4 linked regions of the Drosophila melanogaster genome follow. The protein of the gene in region 2 interacts with the protein of the main gene of each other region in a pairwise test. Each region holds a gene or a part of one and is shown on either strand. Other genes may lie near its edges.

The links.
Region 1: the proteins of CG14667 (region 2) and TwdlG interact in a two-hybrid assay, tested with the Drosophila melanogaster proteins (one large-scale study listed by BioGRID).
Region 3: the proteins of CG14667 (region 2) and Sps1 interact in a two-hybrid assay, tested with the Drosophila melanogaster proteins (one large-scale study listed by BioGRID).
Region 4: the proteins of CG14667 (region 2) and CG9184 interact in a two-hybrid assay, tested with the Drosophila melanogaster proteins (one large-scale study listed by BioGRID).

The regions. Positions count from the first base shown.
Region 1 is NT_033777.3:4,247,609-4,254,049, forward strand, and holds TwdlG (TweedleG), read right to left. Parts: upstream 3,734-6,441; 5' UTR 3,127-3,733; intron 2,907-3,126; 5' UTR 2,314-2,906; coding exon 2,299-2,313; intron 2,238-2,298; coding exon 1,583-2,237; intron 1,410-1,582; coding exon 1,243-1,409; 3' UTR 1,115-1,242; downstream 1-1,114. Other genes in the region: TwdlF (TweedleF), read left to right, coding at 1-576; CG14644 (uncharacterized protein), read right to left, coding at 4,370-4,634, 4,690-5,206, 5,268-5,367.
Region 2 is NT_033777.3:5,373,283-5,378,097, reverse strand, and holds CG14667 (uncharacterized protein), read right to left. Parts: upstream 3,077-4,815; 5' UTR 3,008-3,076; coding exon 2,882-3,007; intron 2,821-2,881; coding exon 2,174-2,820; intron 2,112-2,173; coding exon 1,998-2,111; intron 1,942-1,997; coding exon 1,815-1,941; 3' UTR 1,638-1,814; downstream 1-1,637. Other genes in the region: 7B2, read right to left, coding at 288-1,099, 1,148-1,166; hd (humpty dumpty), read left to right, coding at 3,601-3,648, 3,708-3,865, 3,923-4,815.
Region 3 is NT_033778.4:14,267,485-14,273,118, forward strand, and holds Sps1 (selenophosphate synthetase 1), read right to left. Parts: upstream 3,175-5,634; 5' UTR 2,679-3,174; coding exon 1,482-2,678; 3' UTR 1,288-1,481; downstream 1-1,287. Other genes in the region: conv (convoluted), read left to right, coding at 3,686-3,786, 3,854-4,014, 4,075-4,244, 4,304-4,906, 4,959-5,634.
Region 4 is NT_037436.4:1,320,567-1,325,061, forward strand, and holds CG9184 (uncharacterized protein), read right to left. Parts: upstream 2,241-4,495; 5' UTR 2,217-2,240; coding exon 2,186-2,216; intron 2,137-2,185; coding exon 1,439-2,136; 3' UTR 1,226-1,438; downstream 1-1,225. Other genes in the region: Myo61F (myosin 61F), read left to right, coding at 4,005-4,063.

The sequences.
Region 1 (6,441 bases), 1.1 Mb from region 2:
AATGTGCCCATCCGCAAGAACTACCGGATCGTCTTCATTAAAGCGCCTTCCCAGAATCTGAAATATACCGCCGCGGCCCTGAAGCGGGCCCAGTCAAGCAACGAGGAAAAGACCGTCATCTACGTGCTCTCTAAAAAGCCCGATCTCACTGAGATCCAGCAGCAGCTGCAGGTTACCCAGTCTGAGGCCAAGGTTCAAAAGCCGGAGGTCTACTTCATTAAGTACAAGACCCAGGAAGAGGCCCAGCGCGCCCAGCAGGAAATCCAGGCCCAGTACGACGCCTTGGGAGGTGCAACCCACATTTCGGACGAGGGAGTGGCTCCCATCGCCAGCGTTTCGAGTGGCTCCCTTAACCTGGGCAGCTTTGTGCCCCAGCACTCCCAAGCTGGCCAAACCATCATCCACTCTCAGGCGCCAACCATTATCCAGCCACAGGGTCAGCCCATTGTTCAGCTGCAGTCTATTAACCAGGGGGTCCAGGGGGTCCAGCAGCAGAGCTCCTTTGTGCAGAAGTCCACCTCCTCATTCGCTCCCTCGGCGCCATCAAGGAAGTATGTGCCGGCAAAGACTTTTTAAAAAGTTGTAGTAAGAATCCTATCGCTTTCATTGTTTTATATCAACCATCATACTGTAGTAAATTTTAATTTATTTTTAATGCAAAAGTCGAAAGTCGAAAGAAATATAAAAAAATTTAAATCGAAACCCAAAAAGCCTTCTGTTTCTAGTACTCGTTTTTAAGTTTAATCCTTTTAATATTTTAGATAGGTTTTGTTTTAGGATTTGGAATTAATCTTTCATTTAAGGCATAGCTTGAGTTTAATGTTTCTTATGAAAACGCTGTTTATTTTTATCACAAAAATGTTTCAATGGGCTAAGAGACTATGACAATGACTTCTTTCTCGCAAGAAAGTTTGGACCATCTCTTTTGGCATTAAGCCAACAGCCATAATAATCAAGTTTTCGTGTGGCTTAATCGTTGTTATGTAAGTCAAATCACATGCTAATTTATGCGACCGGTTTTCGGCTTGGATGGCTGTCATTGGACTAATGGATGTGGTAACATGGTCCATAGAAAACTATTTTGTTACTTTGAAGTATTGAAACTCGATTTCATATTTGAATATGGCTGCAGAGTCGCTTTCTATCATAAGGCGGAGCTCAAAATATGAACTTTATTTAACTAAATGTGTAAATTACAAGAGTTCAAGTCTTAAAATTACGACAGTGGCCTTGGAGTTGTACCTAAGCACGCAGATTAGTTGGCAAGTAGCTGTTTGGCAAGGAGCCAGAAAACTGTCCGGATGAAATTCCGTTGTTGCGCTGGTTGTCCAGTACGCCAATCACGGATGTAACGGGTGCAACTCCCTCGTCAGAAACCTGTGATGTTCCGCCAAGCTGGTCATATTGAGCTAAAAGAAGTAAATCGGTTAAAAATCGGGTAATAAAAATTTGGACAAGCCAGATTAATTGGTCGATAGACATTTCTATGAAGCTTGCAAATCGAAACATTTGAGGTCTGTTGCATACTGATGAGGTCTTCAAGTGTGTCTCATAGCATCTGCTCGATGCGGGTGTTGCTCACCTTGAATGGTACGTTGCGCATGCGCAGCTTCCTCCTGGGTCTTGTATTTGATGAAAAATACCTCTGGCTTGCTGGGCTGCTTCGGCGCGATTTCCTCGATGGCAGTCTGGAGATCTAGTGGGTCCGGCTTCTTGGTCAGCACATAGATGATGGTCTTCTCCTCCACAGGAGCCTGTTTGATGCGCAACGCCGCCTTCGAGACACTGGTCGTCGGTGCCTTGATGAAAACTATGCGATAATGCTTGCGCGGAGGCGCGGGCGGAAGGACGGGCTGAGGGTAGCGGTCCTCGGGCTCTTCTGCTGGTGGCACATGGACGTAGATGTCCTTGGAGACGAGGTGCTGCTGCTGAGGCTGATGTGCCTGGGGCAGCGCATTGTACGCCGAATTTGGGCCGAACTGCGTCGCCTGCTGTTGGTAAGCGGAGGCCTGGTTTTGATTTGAGTAAGATGCGAGCCCTTCTCCTCCGGTCAGGACCTGCTGCAACTTTGGAGCCTGGAGTGCCTGCTGAAGGATCGTCTGCTCCGCAAGGGTGGCAAACTGCGGAATAGAAGGCAGATGGAGTTGACCAGCTTGCGCCGACGATTGAAGCTGTTGCTGGGCTTGGTAGTTGTATCCTTGAGGAATGCCGGCTGCAAGTCCTAGGAGGCACGGCACCTATAAAACTAAGTCATTACTATTGGTGCTTGGACACCTCGGCTGACACTAGAGGGCTTACAATGAAGAAATGCATTTCCGATTGAGTTGAAGACACCGGTCCCTTGGCAATCAAAATTCAACTAAATGCTAATCACTAGCCGCCCAGACTTTTATGTCGCTGACTCGATAATGTCGGTACGAAAAAGTTGTGTCCGCAACGCAAAGTTTAAATGAAACTGAAACCACAAACGCTCAAGCCGCACGAAAACTCGCTTGCGTTTTCATACAACCTTGAGGTAACGGTAACTTTTTGGGAACTCACCCAAAACCCTAAAGCTCTCGAGCTTCAACTTAGGGCCAAGTCGAAAGCGTCGTCTAGTTGGAAGTCTTGTGCGATGGACACATACAAATGTGGAGATTAGTTTGGCACATCCATTTCTCTAGCTTTTGAGGTGATCATGATGGTGGATATTTGTTGCTGTTGATGGCCGATCATAATTGACGAACCTTTGCAACGCAAAATCTCGAATCGCAACTTGCATTGATCACACAATAGTCTCATTTAAAATGGCGTCTACCTGGAAAACTTTCGCTTTTTCACTATGTCTTAATGAATTTCAGAAATTGCTTTGGTTTCCGATGACCCAATTATTAAATTGTAATTGGTACATAGTTGCACAATTTGATCTATAACATAATATGTATTTTCTGTATTATATTTTCAGCATTTAGCTGACGAAAAAAGGCAAGTCCTAATGCTTAAATCAATGTCCGTCATAGCATGGGTCATAATTGGGGGCCCTGTTGGGCCAGGTAAGTGGTGCTGACGATTTGATATATGACTGGAGATTTATCAAAACACAAATGGCAGTGCGGGCCAAGATGAAGCACAATCGCTTCAAATTACCGTGTGGCGTGCGTTTCTTCCCCGATCCGTTACGAGTACGCAAATACTGCGGCATCACACTTATGATCGACTTATTATGCAAGCCACCCGTTCACACGAGCTGTGGCGCCCCCGCAATCAGCAAATTGTGGGCATCGGCAACTCCTGGTGCTTTTCTCCGACCTAATCTTGCAGACAAAAGATAAGAGCGTCTTGGCCCACGGAGTTACGCAATGGTATCTACACTGAGTCCGCGGCTTTTTGGCGCACTCTTTGGATACGCCGCAGAAATGTACTTCGTTTACAGCTCTTCCCTGTTCAAATTTCAAACTTCATTAATTTTTATTTCATGGCGTTTCGTGTGTCGGCTATTTGCATGGCCAAGGCTTATGGCGCCTACATTAGGATTGAATTAAATAATTAAAATATAGAAATACCAAAAACAATCAATAATAAGTGGGCACAGGTCATCCGCAGAAAATGATTGCTGATTGCTTAATGTTGGACATCCAGTCGAGTGATTTTCTTTAAGCCCAGGTAAAATAACATTGAATAATTTTGCACACTTATATTATTGATTATAAATTTGAATTCCTTTTCAAGCGCACGATCTGACTGGTTTTGTGTTATTAGATTGAAAATATGTTGAAATATATATGTAAGTACAAACTGCAAATCCAAAAGCTCATATTAAACTCGGCAAAGTTTTTTCTGGGAGTTGGTTTAGACATCGAATGAAATAGCTTTCTTTGACAAAAGCTTTGGAGATTTCTAACTGACAGCAGCGAAGTCCCGGGGCAAATATTGGACATTATTTGGTCTTTTTAAAATGAAATATAAACAGCAAATAGTAAATACTACGACAGTGACGTCGTATAGTACGTGTAATCTTTTGAGTTTGTGGCTAATAACGAGCCTTGAGTTGAAAATAGTATTGTATCAATACAATACACCTTGACCAAATAAATACAGCATCTGAAATTTGTACATCCGGCAAGCAATTATCGAAGTTACGGTTTTTTTTTTGCTTATTTAAAGCAAAGTACTGGGGCATTTCCCCTTATCTGCTAGAAAATATCGATTTAATTTACTGTAAGATGGTAGTATGCTTCTAATATATGGTGTTAAACGATTTCGAAACTGTGTGTCCAGAGAAATGTTTCGGATTGGGTCCCCTCTTCAGATGAACTAAATTCTATTTAATAGGTAAGTAATTTTTATATGGAACGTACATAAAAACGGAACGCATTTTCTGAATTCAATCCTACTTCATCAAATTCCTCACAATGTCTACAGGAAAAGGAAAGACGTAGGACCGGGTGTCATCATTGCAGATGGAGTTCAGTGTTTGCAAGTACCGTAGCTGCAGGGCTATGGGGTTGGTCTCCATTATGTCGGCAGCCTCCTTCAGAGCAGTTACCGCATCTCGCTCCCCCTGCGCCGCGGCCACCTTGGCCTTGGCCTCACGCATCGCCTCCTGTTCCACAGCCAGGGCGCGCTTCAGTTGATCAGGCATGAAGATCTCCTTGCTGCCGAATATATCATAACGCATTATTGATCCATTGTAAGACAAAAAGTACTTACATCTCGACCCGTTCCACGCGTATGCCCCAGGGCTCTGTGGAGTTGTACAATATACCCTCTATTTGGTTGGAGAGGTACTCCTTGGACGAGAGCAAATCCATTAGCTTGTGGGTGCCGGCCACGTTACGCAGCGTGGTCATTGCTAGCTTCTCGGTCGCCTCCTCCGGATCGTATACTTGCAGCATGGCGTCGAATGGGCTCTTGATGCTGTAGTACACCACTCCGTCGATGCTGATCGTCACCATGTCACGAGTGAGGATTTCCTGTCTATGTAGGTCAAATGACCTGGTACGTATGTCCACAACAGCGAGGTCATCAATGCAGGGCACGAGAAAGATGACGCCTGGCCCCCTCGGGGGCTTAGGGCGCAGGCGACCCAGGCGCAGGATTACCGCTCGCTCGTACTCCGACATTACCCTGAGACAGCAGAATAGGGACCACGGCAGGCAAAGGACTATCAGAATCATGGACAGCACAAACAACGTTTTCTCCGCACAAGTTGGTGGAACATTCTCACCTATGAAATCGCAAATTGCTGTAGTCCCTCGGAATATCTTAGCTTTTATTGGGGGATTTACTTGTTTTTACATTACGCTGAGGTAACAGTGATTCATCGTGGAACACGTTTACCGAGGAGCTCTGAGCAAGCAAAGCAGGGGTCGTCGGATTATTGTCCATTACATTAGATTTAGAAGATCGTGTAAGGTGACAGTGTATTCAACTACGACTATAGATAACAAAAACTCAAATACAGTTTTGATAAAAGCATTATGGGTAGTTTATGTGTGAAAAGAATCCGTTTGGGTTTTAATGGGAAGCGGAGGCTTATATGTTATATATATATATGCTTATATGCTTATATATGTCGACTATCAGATACCTGTTACTTAAGTGTTTTTTCTTTACTTTGTTGGCTTGTGCTTATCTGCAGAAAAGAAATTATACATAAATCAGAAAAAAGAAATTGTTGACTTGCGAGCATTTATTGGTTTGTTGGTTAGAGTAAAAATTTTTAAATAAATAAAATTAAAACTTTTTTAAAAATAACCAAAATATTATTCGTATATCAAAAGTAGGCAGCTTGTGGACGTTGAAGTGGGCGTTGCCCTTTTCTTGAATTAAGTACACACTGCACCTACAATCTATCGGCCTAATTTCAACGTTCTTATTTATATTATACCGAAGATAATTACATTTTAGTTATGTTATATTTTTTAGGTATTCATTTATGAGCAATTTACGTACCTACACTGAACCCGAGTAGATTGGATCTTACACTGTGCAAAATGTGCACTTCTCTTCTAAAGGAACATGCTGCCCTAATCAATAATGTATTTCCCAGAATTTGTTAGATTGAATACACTAACTCACTCGTCTAAAATTTTCGCAAGAGCCCGCTGTGTTCAGCGGGCAAACTACAAAGCTCTTGCACCAGACCGACTCCGAAATCGATTTTGGCTTCAGTGAAGACTGAACATGAAACGATCATTAGGGTACCTCGAAAACTGAGGGTCTGCGGTGCCAGACCAGCCGCTTCAGTTTATTACACCAACGGCAAGTGTTCGTGGTGCACATCCCCTTAGCACGGAGAAGACCTAGAAATCACTGCAGAAATGTGAACAAAACTCTTTGAAGTCATAATCAAAGGGCTATTTATTCCCAAGAAAGTTGGGGCTGACCGCTAGACATGAAAAATGAGTTTCGTTGCAGCCGGTGAAGAAACGATCGGTTTGAACAACCGGGCAAATATTC
Region 2 (4,815 bases):
AACAGATATTCGATATTTCTCACTCTCATCAAACTTGGGTCATCCCAAGGATAAGCTACATCCGAACCCACCTTCGGTAGTGGAGACCCTACCCCAAGTTTAGACCAATACCCGCATATTTTCGGCTTAGAGCCCTGGTACTATACGAATAACTTTATTTTCGGGAAAGGGTAGAAACATTACTAGACATCGCTTGCGGGACAACATTGATAACCAGCTATGATAGATAATAGTATTAGACACCCATATGGAAACGTCGTGTATGCTCGCGTTATCAGCGAGTTACCTTAGTGGAATAAAAGGTTGCCCTTCTTGGCGGCTATGGGCAAGCGGTCGCCCTGGAGGAACGGGTTTATGACCGCGTCGTCCAGCCGAGGATCGGGCATCACAGGATATCCGGCCTTCTTAGCCAGGCTGTTAACGTTGTTCAGGCTGTTCTCCTGGCCCATCTGCATGATGTACTGCTCCACGGCGGAGTTCAGGTCACCCTTGTCGCCGCCCACATCAGCACTATCCTGTTCCGAGCAGTCGAACATATGCTCGTTGTCGCAGGTACAGTCCTGAGCGGCCTGGAACTCCCGGCTGAAGATGGCCGTGTTTTCGAAGTCGACAATGCAGCTGCCGCCTTGCGTCTCCATGTCGTAGCCCTCAGGGCAGGGATTAGGAGGGTTGCAGTAGGCAGGCAGGCCGGCGTCGTTCTTCACTATAGTGGGATACCTGTTGGGACCCTCTCCCATTCCGCCGGAGATGAACTGGTGACCCCACAGCGAACTGTGCTGCAGAAACTCGTCATCCCGCAGCGAAGGATGGGAGGCAGCTCCCGATGCCGAGCCCGATTGCAGGATGCAGTCGCTTCCGCCGTCACACAGCCTCGCGTACTCCGACCGGGAGACCAGGTCCACGTTGTCCTTGGAGCCAGCGGCTGCCTCGTTGCCCACGTCGTAATAGCCCACCTGCATGTCTTTGTCCATGCGATTCAGCAGATCCGTCATCAAGACATCGGCAAGAATATCCTTGGCGCTATAGGACTGCACCTGGTAGCCACTCAAGGCGACCACGAGCATCGCCACCATCATGTACACACCTGGAAAAACATGGGCTATTCTCTTACCTCACCCACCTATAAATATTACTTCAGCAGACTTACTTTGCGAACGGAACAACATATTGCGATTCCAAGCGGTTTCAACCGTCCACGTCGAAGTTTGGTAAGGTATTGATTTTTCGGCGGCAGCTGCTCCGATTCCGTGTATATACTAACGTGACGTAGGGCTCTGTGCTTCGTGCGGCGGCTACCAGTTGAATTTGCGAAATATACGCAGATCCAATCGAAGCTGCCTTATGGCAGCCACAGCTGAAAGGACGCATGCGCCGTACTCGAAAGCTCTTTTATGTTGAAGCAGTCCTGTGGGGGGCCGAGAATTAGATTAGCGCCAAACTGCTGGAGCTGAGGTTTTCAGGCCTCTTTAAGCTTTATTAGTATAAAATGCTGGAAGAAAATAAGAAAACTTAGTCGCTAAGAAAACTTTATTTTCTTGAATTGTATGACTAGAGGTTTATGTTACACGGTAATACGCTATAAATTTCCATTCCCTCCTTAATTTAAAAGTATGAACTATAAAAAATGACTTGAAAGTAAAACTGAAGGAATTTTATTTTCAATAAATTAAAAATACACTTATAAAAAAATAACATTGAACCGATACTCCATTGTCGAATATTATGGTAGCGAAGTAGTAAACTGAACTACTCAATTATGATTTATTTTTTTGACCTTAGCATTTACTTAGAAAGAAGGTGGTAATAATTGAGGGTTAGGTTGCCAATTCGATGAAATCGAATTCATCCTGCATATATTTGGCAAGGCGCTTATGCGGTGCTGTTTTTGTATGGGCCACCAAGCCTCGGCGAGTTATAAAATCCATGTTGCAAGGCTCACACCTAAACGCAAAAAATACGATATTAAGACATATGACTGCGCAAGCTGACAAGCTTACCTGAACTTTCGGATTTGCTTTGAGTGTGTCGAAAAGTGGTTCTGCAATTCGGAAACGCTGCTGAAGATCATTCCGCATTCTAGGCATGGATAAGGTCGTTCGTTCTTATGGGCTCTAAAATGAAATTGGAAGTTGCATATAGTGCTGCGCTAGCATTCAATTCCCAGCCTCCTTACTTGTCGTGCCGCAACTTAGCGCCCAGAGACGCGAAAGCCTCGTGGCAGATGGTGCACTGGAACCTGCGGTTAATTAAATGAACCTGGGTGCGATGCTGCTTGAGAAGCGCCTTCTTGTTAAAAGTCTGTGGGCACTCAGGGCAGGGGAAGAACTGGTTCATATCCCGCCGGTTCTGGTGCCCATTTAAATGCTCGGTGTACAGGAACGCATCGTGGAACAGGGTTCCACACTCGTCGCAGATAAAGAAGTTACTGCGCCTCTTGGCGGCCCGCTCCATTTCCTGCTCCTGTAGATCCTCCTGCTGCGCCGCTTCTGCTGCCGCCTCTGCTGCCGCTATCACAGCGGCAGAGGGGTCGTCATCCAGCTCGATTTCCTCTAGGTCTTGGTGTTCCTCTTTCGTGCCTTGATAACAAACGTACTGGTCGTCATCGTAGTGCGTCTCCAATTGATCCGCATCGATCAGTTGCTCGTCCAGCGGCTCGGAACTAAGCTCAACGTGAACAGTGCTTTGATCACTGGTCTTCTTTATGATATCCAGCAGGTACTTTTGCGAGAAGATGCACCGCTCGCGGAACTTGGTGGCCAGGTCCAGCTCGGAGAAGCAGCGCTCGCAAACAATCTCCGGCAGCCCCTGGTTTCTTGTCAGCTGAACAAATTCCAGGTAATAACAATTGTTGGCGCGGTCGGAAGCTGACATAACGACCTACCTCCACTCCCGTGATTAGCTTCAGTTGACCCAAATATTTTCCCCGCATGTGAATGAATATGTTGCGATCTCGCTGGTGGCCCATAATTTTGTTGGCGCAAATACGGCAAACGTCGGCGAGGTTCATTGTTTATCAAGTTAATGTGTTTACTTTTAGCATAAAACGCAGCGACGGAAAGTGTTACCAGATCATAAAACAGTTGGAAAAACGACAGTGCTTAATCGATTTGTTATCGGTGAATCCGATAGTCAGATACATTTTTATAGCGCAAAAAGATTTTTTATTCATTTGATTTTATTAATAGTTAAAACGATACAACATGCGCTTGTTTAATTTAGGTTAGAAGCTTGTAAATCCAAAAAGAACCATTAAAATTAAAAAATCAAATTCGATGCCCAACAATGCCATTGTTAACCAACATAGCCCCTGCAGCCAGTGATATACAATTTAAGTTAGTTTCGTTTTGTAAACTACTCCATCTATTATAATAAATAATTAGTTAAATTGTGAGATTCGTTTTATTTGCCGACTAACGATATTTTTGGGAATTGAACATGGGCGAAAATAGCGAATAACGAGCTAATCAATCGAAAGATTTCACACCCCTAGTTGCGCGCCATAATTTTTTGTGATATTTGCAAACGTTTTGAAGATATTTGCAGTTCACAAAGTACTTAAATAATCCGTGAAGGTCCTGTGCGCGAACCAAGACATTGAACATGTCCACCGAAGCGAGTGTGGCTTCCAAATGGACGCGCCCAGATGACGTGGGTAAGGACTCGGAGGAGCACCTGCCCGCCACTAATGTTGTTGTTTCGTTTTCCAGTTCATCAAACTGCAGCGGCTCAAGCAGAAGAAGAACAAATTGGCAGCCCGCGTGAGCAACAACAACAATAGGCGGCCAAGACACCAAGTGGATGAGACGGATAAAAGCAAGCTACTGGAGGCTAAGCTCGCCCAGAAGCGAAAAAATCCGTTTGCGAAGTGAGTTTCCCTCTCTCTCGCTCTCCCCAAAATCCAATTACTGACTCCCTGCCTCAGATCCACAGCTGATGCCAAGAAACTGCGCGTTGATCCGCAACTGGCGGACCTCGAACCAGTGGTCACTGCCTCCTCCTGCTTTGTGCGGGAAACGCCCACGCGCCCGGCGCCCGCCAAATTCGTGCTCCAGAAGTACGACCCGCAGGCCTTTGCCAAGCTCTTCCAGCATCCCCAAATCAACGCTGAGGACGAGGACGATGCGGAGTTGGCCGCCCGGCAGAAGCACACCGCCCACCTACCTGTGGACTGGTCCCTGAAGACGCGAGCCCGTTTCTTCTGTCCCACGGAACTGCCTGCCATCCAACTGAAGACCTCGCAGCTGGCCAGCGGACTCACCAGCTTCGTGCGCTGCATGGACCCGCAGCGAACGGAGAGCACGCTGGATATCTCGGACGCAACGCGGTTCAACCAATGCAATTACTACTGGCAGCACCCGCACCTGCCCTGGCTGACGCTCTACCCGCGCACCGCCAAGGAGAACGTGGGCGTGGTGGTGGGTGAGCGGGAGCGCAAGGCCCTGGCCGAGGAGTGGGACTTCAGCTTCCGGGGCCTATTTCAGCTGCTGCGTGCCCGCCAGTGCCCGTACTTCTACCTGTGTGCCAACACTTTTACGGTGCTGTTCCGAGCTGCCGGAGTTGGCGGTCGGCCGGAGAGCCACGCCTTGGTCACGCCGTCGACTCGGGGAATGCGGCAAGCTCTGCGACAGGAGGGGATCGAGTTCAGCATGCCTCTTAAGAGCGATAACAGTGGAAACGCGCACGACAACAGTTTTAACGAGGAGAGCACTACCACCTCGCTAGGTCCAGAAGCGGGCGAAGATGCTCCTCCGCCGGCACAGGAAGATGAAGACGACGACGAGGACTGGCTGGAGAGCTTGGGCGTGGATGAGCGTG
Region 3 (5,634 bases), on a different chromosome or scaffold from region 2:
GACTACAGCAACTGCCACTGCCACTGCGACCACGACCACGACACGTAGGGAAAACTAGTTTCTAACTGCGGTTTTTGAGCTCGTCTTCCAAACACCAAACACCGAACAGCAAAGAGCCCCAACAGCCCACACACTATCTACATATGTATCTTTCTATCTATCGACGTTTGTATCGCTATGTGGCTCTGTATGTACAAATACTTGCAGCACTCACTGTGCACTTTTCCAAAACTCCAAAAACGCAACGTACGTCCAAGTACAGTTCAATTGGGGAGGGAAAATCTCTTCGTTGTGCGGGAAATTCGTTGGTCAGTGTATTAGTGTTCGATCGCTCCCAGCACAAAAGTGTAACGGTGCGCGCAGTGTAAGTTTCTCGTTGTGTTTACGATTCGGATGCGGATCTTAACGCGTCGCTAGCTCGGGCGGTACTGAGGCCCACGATCCGCACTTGCCACCAGCGATCCCGATCCCCACCAGTGCGATCCGATCCCATCCGATGGCAACTTGCCGGAGACCTGTTCGCACGAGAGCATCTCTCGCTCGGTTTTGGTTTTTAGAGCTTGCAAAGCTTTTCGCTCTCCGCAACTAATGCCGATTGATCGAACAATAGAGGTTAGGAGGTTAGGGTATCTGATAACCCATGCTAAATTCTCCTCAACAAATCAACGTCCTTTAAATGTCTCTTTAAATGTCCATGTTTCCGAAATTCACTCTCAAACTTATCATAACCAATTAATTTTCAAATGAAGTTCAGTTCAAAATGATCATATTTTTAGTAAGAATATTCCTGTACTCAAACATGTTTTAAACTATCTGAAGGTACTATCAGCACACGTATCTAAATGAGATACATGACACTTCTTTTTGCTGGCTTGGTACTTGACAATTACTTTCCTGATAACCCGCTCCCAAGTTTGAACTGCGAAACAAAGCTTAACGATTAAAATTCACTTAAACCTCCAACAATTTGACTTTCAAAACGCGTGCTGATTTCATAAGCATGCGACTGTAAACTAAAATCAGCAAGCAAATTTAAAATTTACACCAGCTGAGTTTTTAGCCTCAAAGCGCAGGTGCACTAACTAAACAAAAATAAATGTGACTTCTACAACTTATTTAGTGGGTTAAATAAGTCGATTAAATTCTCAACACACAACTGTTCAAAATGTATGCGATTCCGAAGATGCTCCACTTTTTGCCAAACTGTGAGCTGTAATTTAATAACAAAGTTGACTGGAAAAAGCTCATTCAGATGCCCCGCATTCCAATTACTCGATACAAAAGATTCAAGTGTTTTCATTTTATTCACTCGTATTGCAGTAGAGACGTCCAAGATTATAATGATCAGTGAATCTGTAGTTGATAAGCTTTTTTATAAAAAACAAAGACCGATCATGCCGGTTACAACTGAATGTAGCAGCCGTTACGTTAATATTAAGATACTTAAGGTAGACAATAGCAGATGGTCAGGCAATGGAGACCTAGTCCTTGGCGGGCACCTCAATGACGCGGGGCTTGTCGATGATGCGTGCGGTCTTATTGCCCTTCTCAACGATGCCGATGATCCAGGCCTGGTAGCCCTCCTGCTTCTCGATGTCCTTGCAATAAGCAGCGGCCTGCTCTCGCGGCAGGCAGATCAGTAATCCTCCCGAGGTCTCCGCCGAGTGGCCCTGCAGCAGCTGGAACATGTTGCCGCAGGCTTTGGCCACTGCAGCCATCTTGGCGATCACCGGCAGATTGTGGATAACAAAGGAGACATCCTTTTTCTGATGTGCAGCCAGGGTTTGAGCGTGGCCTAGTAGTCCGAATCCAGTAATATCGGTGGCTCCGTGGGCATTGTACTTGTGCATGAGGCGAGCGGCTACGCGGTTGAGGCGAGCCATAGAGTTCATCGCCCGGTGGTAGGCCTTGCGTACATCTTCTTCGGACACCACCAGCTTAATGCGGTTCCAGCGCTCCGGCTGGTCAATCCACTGGTGGGCATTCACGGCCACTTGGGTGCCCAGTGGCTTGGTTAGCACCAGTACATCCCCTACCACGGCATTATCTGGCACAATATACTCATTTGGCTGGCAAATGGTCGAGGCAACCCCACCAATGGTGCACCACGGATTGACCACGCTCTGGCCTCCAGTCACAGTGGTGCCTGCCTCCAAAGCGGAGTCCTTAAAGCCTCGCATTATCAGCGGAATGACCACGTCACGCTCCTTCTCTGTCATCTTGGTACTGACCGCCAACAGCATCAGCATGTTATCGCAATCTGTGACTCCCATGGCATACAAATCGCTGAGCACATTGGCGCACGCAATTTTGCCCATCATGTAGGGATCATCGACAATGGGGTAAAAGAAATCGGTGGTCTGCACCAGGCAGAGTCCGCCGTGTCGCAGCGGAATGACGGAGCAGTCCAGGCCAATACCGATGCGGGGAATGGCCACGTTGAGAAACTGCGGTTCCTGGTCCTGGGCAGAGTAGTCCTGCTGCAGGGCGGACACCAGCTTGGAGAGCACATCCTGCGGCACTTTGCAGCCGCGCCCCTTTAGATCTGCGAAGCGTGTAAGGCGGAAGGATGCATCCAAATCATGGGCCGTGGGATCGAATGGACGACGCAACTCGGCGTCGCCACCACCATGGAGCTCCAAATGGGCCGAGTTCAGCACATCAGCGGCGTAGCTCATCTTGCTTTATAGCTGTGGATGGGGGAGATGCAAAGAACAGAATGTAAGTAGCGGCTTTAACCGATTAACGCACTTTTGCCGCGCAATAAACACATAGTGGGCTACTCTATGCAGCGAGTAACTCGCGTTCTCCCCGGCCACCAATACCACAGCGCTCAGACGTGTATGTACACGGATTTTCTGCCGCGTGTGTGTAGCGCGGCCCGTGATTGGCTGCAGTCGCGATGGCGGCTAAAACGGGCGAAGTCAGTATTTCTCCCTGTCGACGAGGCGAGCAACGTGAACAATGCCCACTCATTTCAATTGCAAAATGCCAAAAAGTGCGCGCTTTGAATTGGCCATTTGGTTCGTTGCGTTCGTTTGTCTTTTGGTACTTACGTTTGCTTGTGCGATTGTACAAAGATAATTGTAGAGTAACGTTAGCAAATTATATTTATTTTGCGCCTGGTTTTTGCTTTTCCAACGAGCGAGATGTCACAACAGGGTTGTATTAGCGTGTGCGGCTGATTCGATATTTGGGATGCCGATTGTCTGAAGCGATGGTTCAACGGGGCTGCCAACTCGCCCGAAATCTATCGATTGTATTGTGCGCCAAGGGTAAAATAAATAAAAATATGTTAAAACCGCGGAATAAATGGGGGAACCGAAGTGGAAACTGTGGTTCACAGTGCTCTGACTTTCGGGAGCAGTTAATATAGTTGGCATTAATTCAATTAGAGCTCCAAAGTGCTGGTCACAAAGAGCGCACAAGAGCGGCCCATGAAAACCTGTTGCGCCAGCAGAGCGAAAAGTAAAAGTAGAAGAAACCATTTACCTTTGTTCGTTGATAAGACAAGTTAACTTTACTCCACATCCCAAAAAAAAACCCACCTCATTCAAGCGGAACATCGTTAAACAAAGAACTATAAGTTTCAGGAAATCGAAGCCCACACAAAAGACTTGAGCAGCGAACTTGGTTTTGGGCCATGGGATAAACTAAATTAAAACGGTGACGAAATCATTAAAACATGATTCAGCTACGCCTGCGCACTCTCGTTTTGCTGCACTTCATTGCCCTAGCCAGTTCGGAATATGTGTATGGCGAACCCGAATTCAAGTGTCCAAAAAAGTGAGTTATTCCAAATATTGTATATTACATATTTCTTCACTTATATGGTGTTTTTTTTTCAAATCAGATCAAAGGCCTTGTACCCCTGCGAATGTGTGAAGGGCAGCGATAATGGCCTCTACATTCGGTGCGAAAATACAAACTTGGCTACCTTATCCGTAGCCCTTCAGAATTTGGCCTCTTTTGGTATGCCCATCGAGGAGTTGACCATCTACAGAGGACATTTCGGTGTGTACTTCTACACGTCCTTTTAGTCTGTTAAGCTGAAGAATCAAATTCTCTTTCTAGTTCGTCTATATGGGCCACTATTTGCTCATATCAAAGCACGAATGCTGATCATAGAAGAAACACCATTGGCCACCATTGAGGATTATGTTTTCTATGGAGTAAATAATACTTTGGAGCAACTGCATTTACTTCGCACAAATCTAAGCCACGTTGGTTTACTAGGATTCGGCGTAAGAATTAAACAATATACCGATACCATCGTTATCTAAACGGGAAATTCTTTTTTCAGATTCTAGGAAAAGCTAAGGAACTCGTAATCGATGGCCATGCGTTCCAACAGCTACCCAAGGATCTATTTGCTGGCCAAGAGATCGCCAATAGTCTGGGAATCATACGTGTGACCAATGGTAACCTAAGTGATCTGCCTATTGAGACTTTCCAGCCATTGCGGAAACTAAAAACGCTCGACTTGCATGGAAATCAATTGGAGAATCTGAAACGAAACCAATTTAAGAATCTAAGAGAGTTGGAGGTCTTGGATATAAGTCACAACCAGATCAAAAAGCTGGAGGCACAGCACATAGCTGATCTGACAAAGCTGGGATGGTGCAACGTTTCTCATAATGCCCTAAGCGAACTTAGTCGCGGAACTTTTGCCAGAAACTCTGTGTTGAAGGTGCTCCATTTGTCCCACAACCAGATTGCACGCCTAGATGCGAATAGTTTTAGGGGTATGCGTTTCCTCCGTCGTCTTTTCCTCAGCGATAATGTGCTCACGGATATTGGTCGTGGTACTTTCGGCTCAATTGCCCGCATTGGAACTATTGATCTTGCACGCAACCGTCTTAAGAAGATCGAGTTCCAGATGTTTACCCAGATGAACTATGTGGAGGTACAATTGCTAATATAAAATTTGAAAAATTTAACTAATTGCTGCTTTTCAGTTGCTCGATTTGGCGGAGAACAACATAACCAAGATTGAAAAGAACTCTTTCAAGGATATTTACCAGGCTATCATAAACGTATCGCATAACGCTTTGGAACTCATTGAAACAGCTGCATTTGAAAATTGTGTAAACATCACGGTTCTTGACTTGTCTCACAATCGGTTGGCCAACTTTTCGCGTCGCAGCTTCGATGAGACCACTTTCGCGACCTATTTTCAGCTGAGCTACAACAATCTTACCAATTTGGCACAGATTCCCATTCAAAATATGACTGGCTTGAAAGTCTTGAATGCCTCGTACAATAGCATTACCGAAATACCCAAAAATTGTTTTCCAAAGCTCTATGAACTGCACACCATCGATGTCTCGCACAATAACATCTCCAGTATATTTAATGGAGTTTTTCAAACCCTATTCTCGCTACGCTCAATTGATCTTAGCCATAATAGCATGAGGGAAATCAAGTCGTCGACATTTGGCACTTTGCCAACCCTCTTGGAAATGGATCTGAGTCATAACGAACTGGTATCCGTAGTGCGAGGATCGCTGGCCAAGTTGACCAGTTTGCGACAGCTGTATTTAAATAATAATCAATTGGAAAAACTTTTCCAGTTGCCTATTTCCCTAAATGAGCTGTACTTCAGCCATAACAGGCTGACTAATATACCATCGG
Region 4 (4,495 bases), on a different chromosome or scaffold from region 2:
AATTAAGTTGAATCGACAAAAGACCACAAGCGATTGTCGTAAACGTCCATCGAAGCACATCGCTTTTCCACGAAAGATGTGGAGGTCTGGTCGACAATTGGTATGCCCTCTTTTATGAATGGGCAGATGTGTCACTTGGAAGAGTAGAGAATGACCTGGTCTTACCTAGTGAATGGATTCATTCAGACATTGTTCTTTAAAGATGTATAAGATACGATCTCTTAAAGAAGTTACGATTCATTTTCACCTTTTAAATTACAAATATTGACGGCATTCTACTATTATCTGTAGTATCCTGGCTGAGAAACTGCTGATCCACCTTAATAAAGCGGTAATTGGCCATGTGGCAATATGCCCCATTCAATCAATTGTATGGCACAAGTACAATTATAGCAAAAATCCCCACTAGTCATAAAGTTCGACTGGCGAGGAACCAAGAACACGGAGCCAGCACTTCCACTCCATTCCATTTCTTTCGACGGAGGAGTGAGCTTGAGTGAGCTCGTGTTGGGATCACCATTACATCGCACCTCGGATTTGCTCAGGTTCGGTAAAGTGCCAAGTAAGGGCTTTTCGTGGAAGCCCCAATCCCAAACTCCAAACTCTTATTCGACGTGAGTACGAGCAAAAAGTCTGTTTTGAAGCGGCCAAAACAGTAGGAAAGGCAAAAACGAAACAAAACGAAACGCTTTTGGGCAGCTCTTTCAGCAGATTTTTTCTTTTTTTTTTGCAATTGGCAGTAAATCGCGTTCAAGATCGGCCTCAGCTGTTGACGCTTTTTATGGCTCGCAGTGAGCTAAGAAAACAGCGGGCCCCAGTGATTGTTTAATACTTAATGGTTATCCGAGACCGAGACCCAGGCACTTGGCATGCGTCACAATGGCGGCGTGATCTCCTCGAGATCTCCTCGTGCCCAGAAGACTCGTCCCTAAAAGCGGGTGACTCAGCAACCGAGCGTCCAGATTCTCTTATATACATATGTATTTGCAACCGGCTCGATAAGTTTGCCCAGTTTGAATTTGAATTTCCAGTCTTTGCGGGTGCGAGAAATGACGATGATGACGATCGTTTGAACGAATTCGATCATCTTTACTCTCGGTCAGCGGCCTCAACTGGGTTCTTTATAATCTAACGATCCATTCAGTTGGATGATCTGGCAAAGCTATTATCAGGGTTTAAGTAATCGTCAATCTCGAGTGGATTAATAGAAACACCTTCTGCCTTTCTCCTTTCTGCAATTCTGTTTCTACTATTATGGGCTTTCAGTTGGACGATTTCTTTAAACATTTATCCAGTCAGAATCGATTAGATATTGAATAGGGCTATAAACTAGAACGCATGCGATGATAAGTAAGAACTACAATGCATCACGCGGTTACTCGGAATATACATGGTACACAATTTATTAAGTTTTAATCAATGATTGGATTAGAGTACTTCAAGCCCTGGCCATTTGGAGTAGGTGATAAAGTGGCACAACGTTAGCGTTGTTCCTGCCGTCGAGGAAGTTCTGGTGGGACAGCACGGCCCTGCCCTGGAAAACGCCAGGAATGGCGGCGGAAGTGAGTCCATCGGCACCGGGAAGTTGGTTATCGACCTCGCCAGCCGTCGAGGAGCGATAGAAGGGATAGTAGGGATAGCCAGAATAGCCGCCAAAGCCGGGATATCCAAAGCCCCCATATCCATAGCCGCCATATCCGCCGTAGTAGTTGTAGCCATTGTAGTAGGGATTGTAGTAGGGTCCCGGCGGAGGAGGAGGTCCTGGCGGCGGTGGTCCGGGCGGAGGGGGTGGCCCCCAAGGACGCTGCGGTGGCGGCGGATAAGCGGGCGGTCCTGGCGACCACTGCGGTGGATAGCCATACTGCCGTGGGTGCTGCTGATCCTCTGGTGGATAATAGTAATGGTGTTGTACTGACGGTTTCGGGGTGGTCGACGGGGCTCCCGAGGCCATCACCAGCTTGATGCCGCCCTTACCAATGGTCTTCAGCAGGTGCTCGTCAATCCCGCGTCCACTTCCCAGCGGATCGTCCAGCACCTGTTGCTGCTTTTCGGTCCTGGCCTGTCCGCTGACCAGGCTCGTCTGCAGTGGCGCCTTCTCCTGGAAACAGAGGCCGCTGACCAGCAGCTGCAGGATAACTGAAAAGGATGTGTCACTCTTTCTAGGCAGCCGATCGTCCGTACTCACCCAAACCAATCGCAGTCACTCTCCGATCCATGATCTCTCTCGGAATAACCTGACCACTCCAGTTGCATTGCCCTTTTATACGCGGTGCATCTGTGATGAGATGTGTGGGATCTCGTTCCCGGTTTCCTCATTAGAATAACCCATGCAGTGGCCCAAATTTGGGATGCCTTTCTTTCTTCTGTGTCCATCTCCATCTCCATCCCCAGCTCCAGCTCCAGCTCGAACTCGATCTCGATCTCGGATCGATCAAGCACCGTTCTAATAACTGCGCTCATTAATTTGCATATGATATAAATGCTTGTAGGGGCTTTGTGGGATCTTTCCACTTCTCATTCCACTTCCATGATCGTTCTGCCAGCCCTGCATTTTTCCAAATGAATTCGAAGAGTTCAATATCCCGCGATATTGCTGCTTGATATATGACGACATTTGAATGCAGATGAAGGTTGGTCATGCCACTGAACAAAAAAATATTCAGCAAAGCTCTTGAGTTGGCAACAAATTTTTTGGAAATATGTGCCCTTGAACTTATTGTATTATCGTTGAGTTTCCGTCTTTAGAACTTATCTTTACTTTTTACGAATGTATTTCTCCATCTCGCTACAAAGCAAATCAGCCTCTGCCTCTTGGTTTCCTATTCTTAATGCTCGACTATTTCTTTCGGTGTGCGATTAATGGGTTAGGAACTTTTTCGTTTGGGTGGGACTCATGGTTTTTGGGTTCCGTTATAGGTCGTGTGTCGTAGACATGTTTACGAGTCGTCTGATACAACAAAATGTGGAGTTCTCTGTTACATCACCCGTTGGAGTATTTCTGGATCGGGAAACCAGTTCCCCACTCTATTAGACCGCTGAATGGGGATTAAAGAAAGAGTGGATCAAGCCGACAAAAGCAACGCCCCCAGGGAACAGAAAGTCAATGACTTCATAGTAGGGAGAAACCGTGTTATTGCAGGGATATTGAGCAAAGTATAATTATAATGACTACACACTCATTAATATTTACAGTTTAATTCATTTTATATCCCCCAGCTAGTTTATCTAATCATGAAAGTATCTGTAGAGGCTTGCCCCGCCACCCAGTCAACTTTGGCAACTCTCTTATCATACAACATATACTCGTGTCAATTGGATCCCAAACAGTTCCATGAGATCTGCACTCACCTGCCCTCCAACTTGTGGATTCCTTAAATAGACGTAGCATAATCTTAGGCGATGGTTGGTTTGTCAAAAGTGCTAAAGTGATTGCAGAATGACTGCAAATGGCTGTGCCCATTGGGTGATGTATTCGTATATGGTTTTCGACATGATCGATATCCACTTCCATCTGCCCTACGTGCAATTAAACAATTATGTGACAAACATCGAATCACGGCGAGCTCGGCTCCAACGACTGGGACGTGTCTGCCGGTCTCTTCGAGAATTCCTGGGAAGTCTTCCCGGCAAACATTTCGCAATTAGTCAGGCATTCGTTCCAGTTCCACACAGCAAATCCCCTTCCAAGTGGCGCAGAGTGGATGGAAACACACAATAGTGGCGGTGGAGGCAATTGCAATCTAGTGTGTGTACTTACAATGTTTTCATTCGGCAATGACTTATTATTTAGCACACTGATAGCTGATAACACAGTGCTAATGTGAGCTGGAGCACTTTTCTGAGTCGGGGTTGTGAGTTTCGAGCTCTGACTCACTCAGAAATGTCCCGAAAGCGCGGCAGTCATCTAGAAATCTTGAAAGCATTAAGTTATAATTTACATTTTGGAGAAGCAAGTTTATGAAATTAGCTAATTGTGGAGCAAGAACTAAGTAAAGGAATTCCTTATGTACATTGAAATCAAATCCTTGATCTTCGCAATAATGGATACTAAGGACTACATAGAGTAAGCAGTGCTAAGATAAAGAAAGTGAATAGATTATAAATCATATAGAATAATTCTTGATTAGTTATCTAAAAACCAAGAAACTGGTTCGCGTAGCTAGGAGGAACCACATTATGAATCAACTGAAAACATTGGGTTGCTCGGAATGATGGGAGATGGGAACGCATATATCTTTAGGATTGACGCATGCGAAAAAGACGTATCGTGATCTCAGGTACTTGGAACTCCGGAATACAGCCGATCCGGAATTCTTTGGTGCGCTGCGTTTCTGTCATGGTCTCCTAAATCGGGTCCCGAGTTTATTCGCGAAAGGCACTATCTAATCGGGGACTGATTGGCGGCATTGCCCTCCTCATCGCAGTCATAGGTATATTATCGTTGATAAATGTGCCGACTAAAAAAAAAGAACAACACAAATTCCGACGAGGCCAA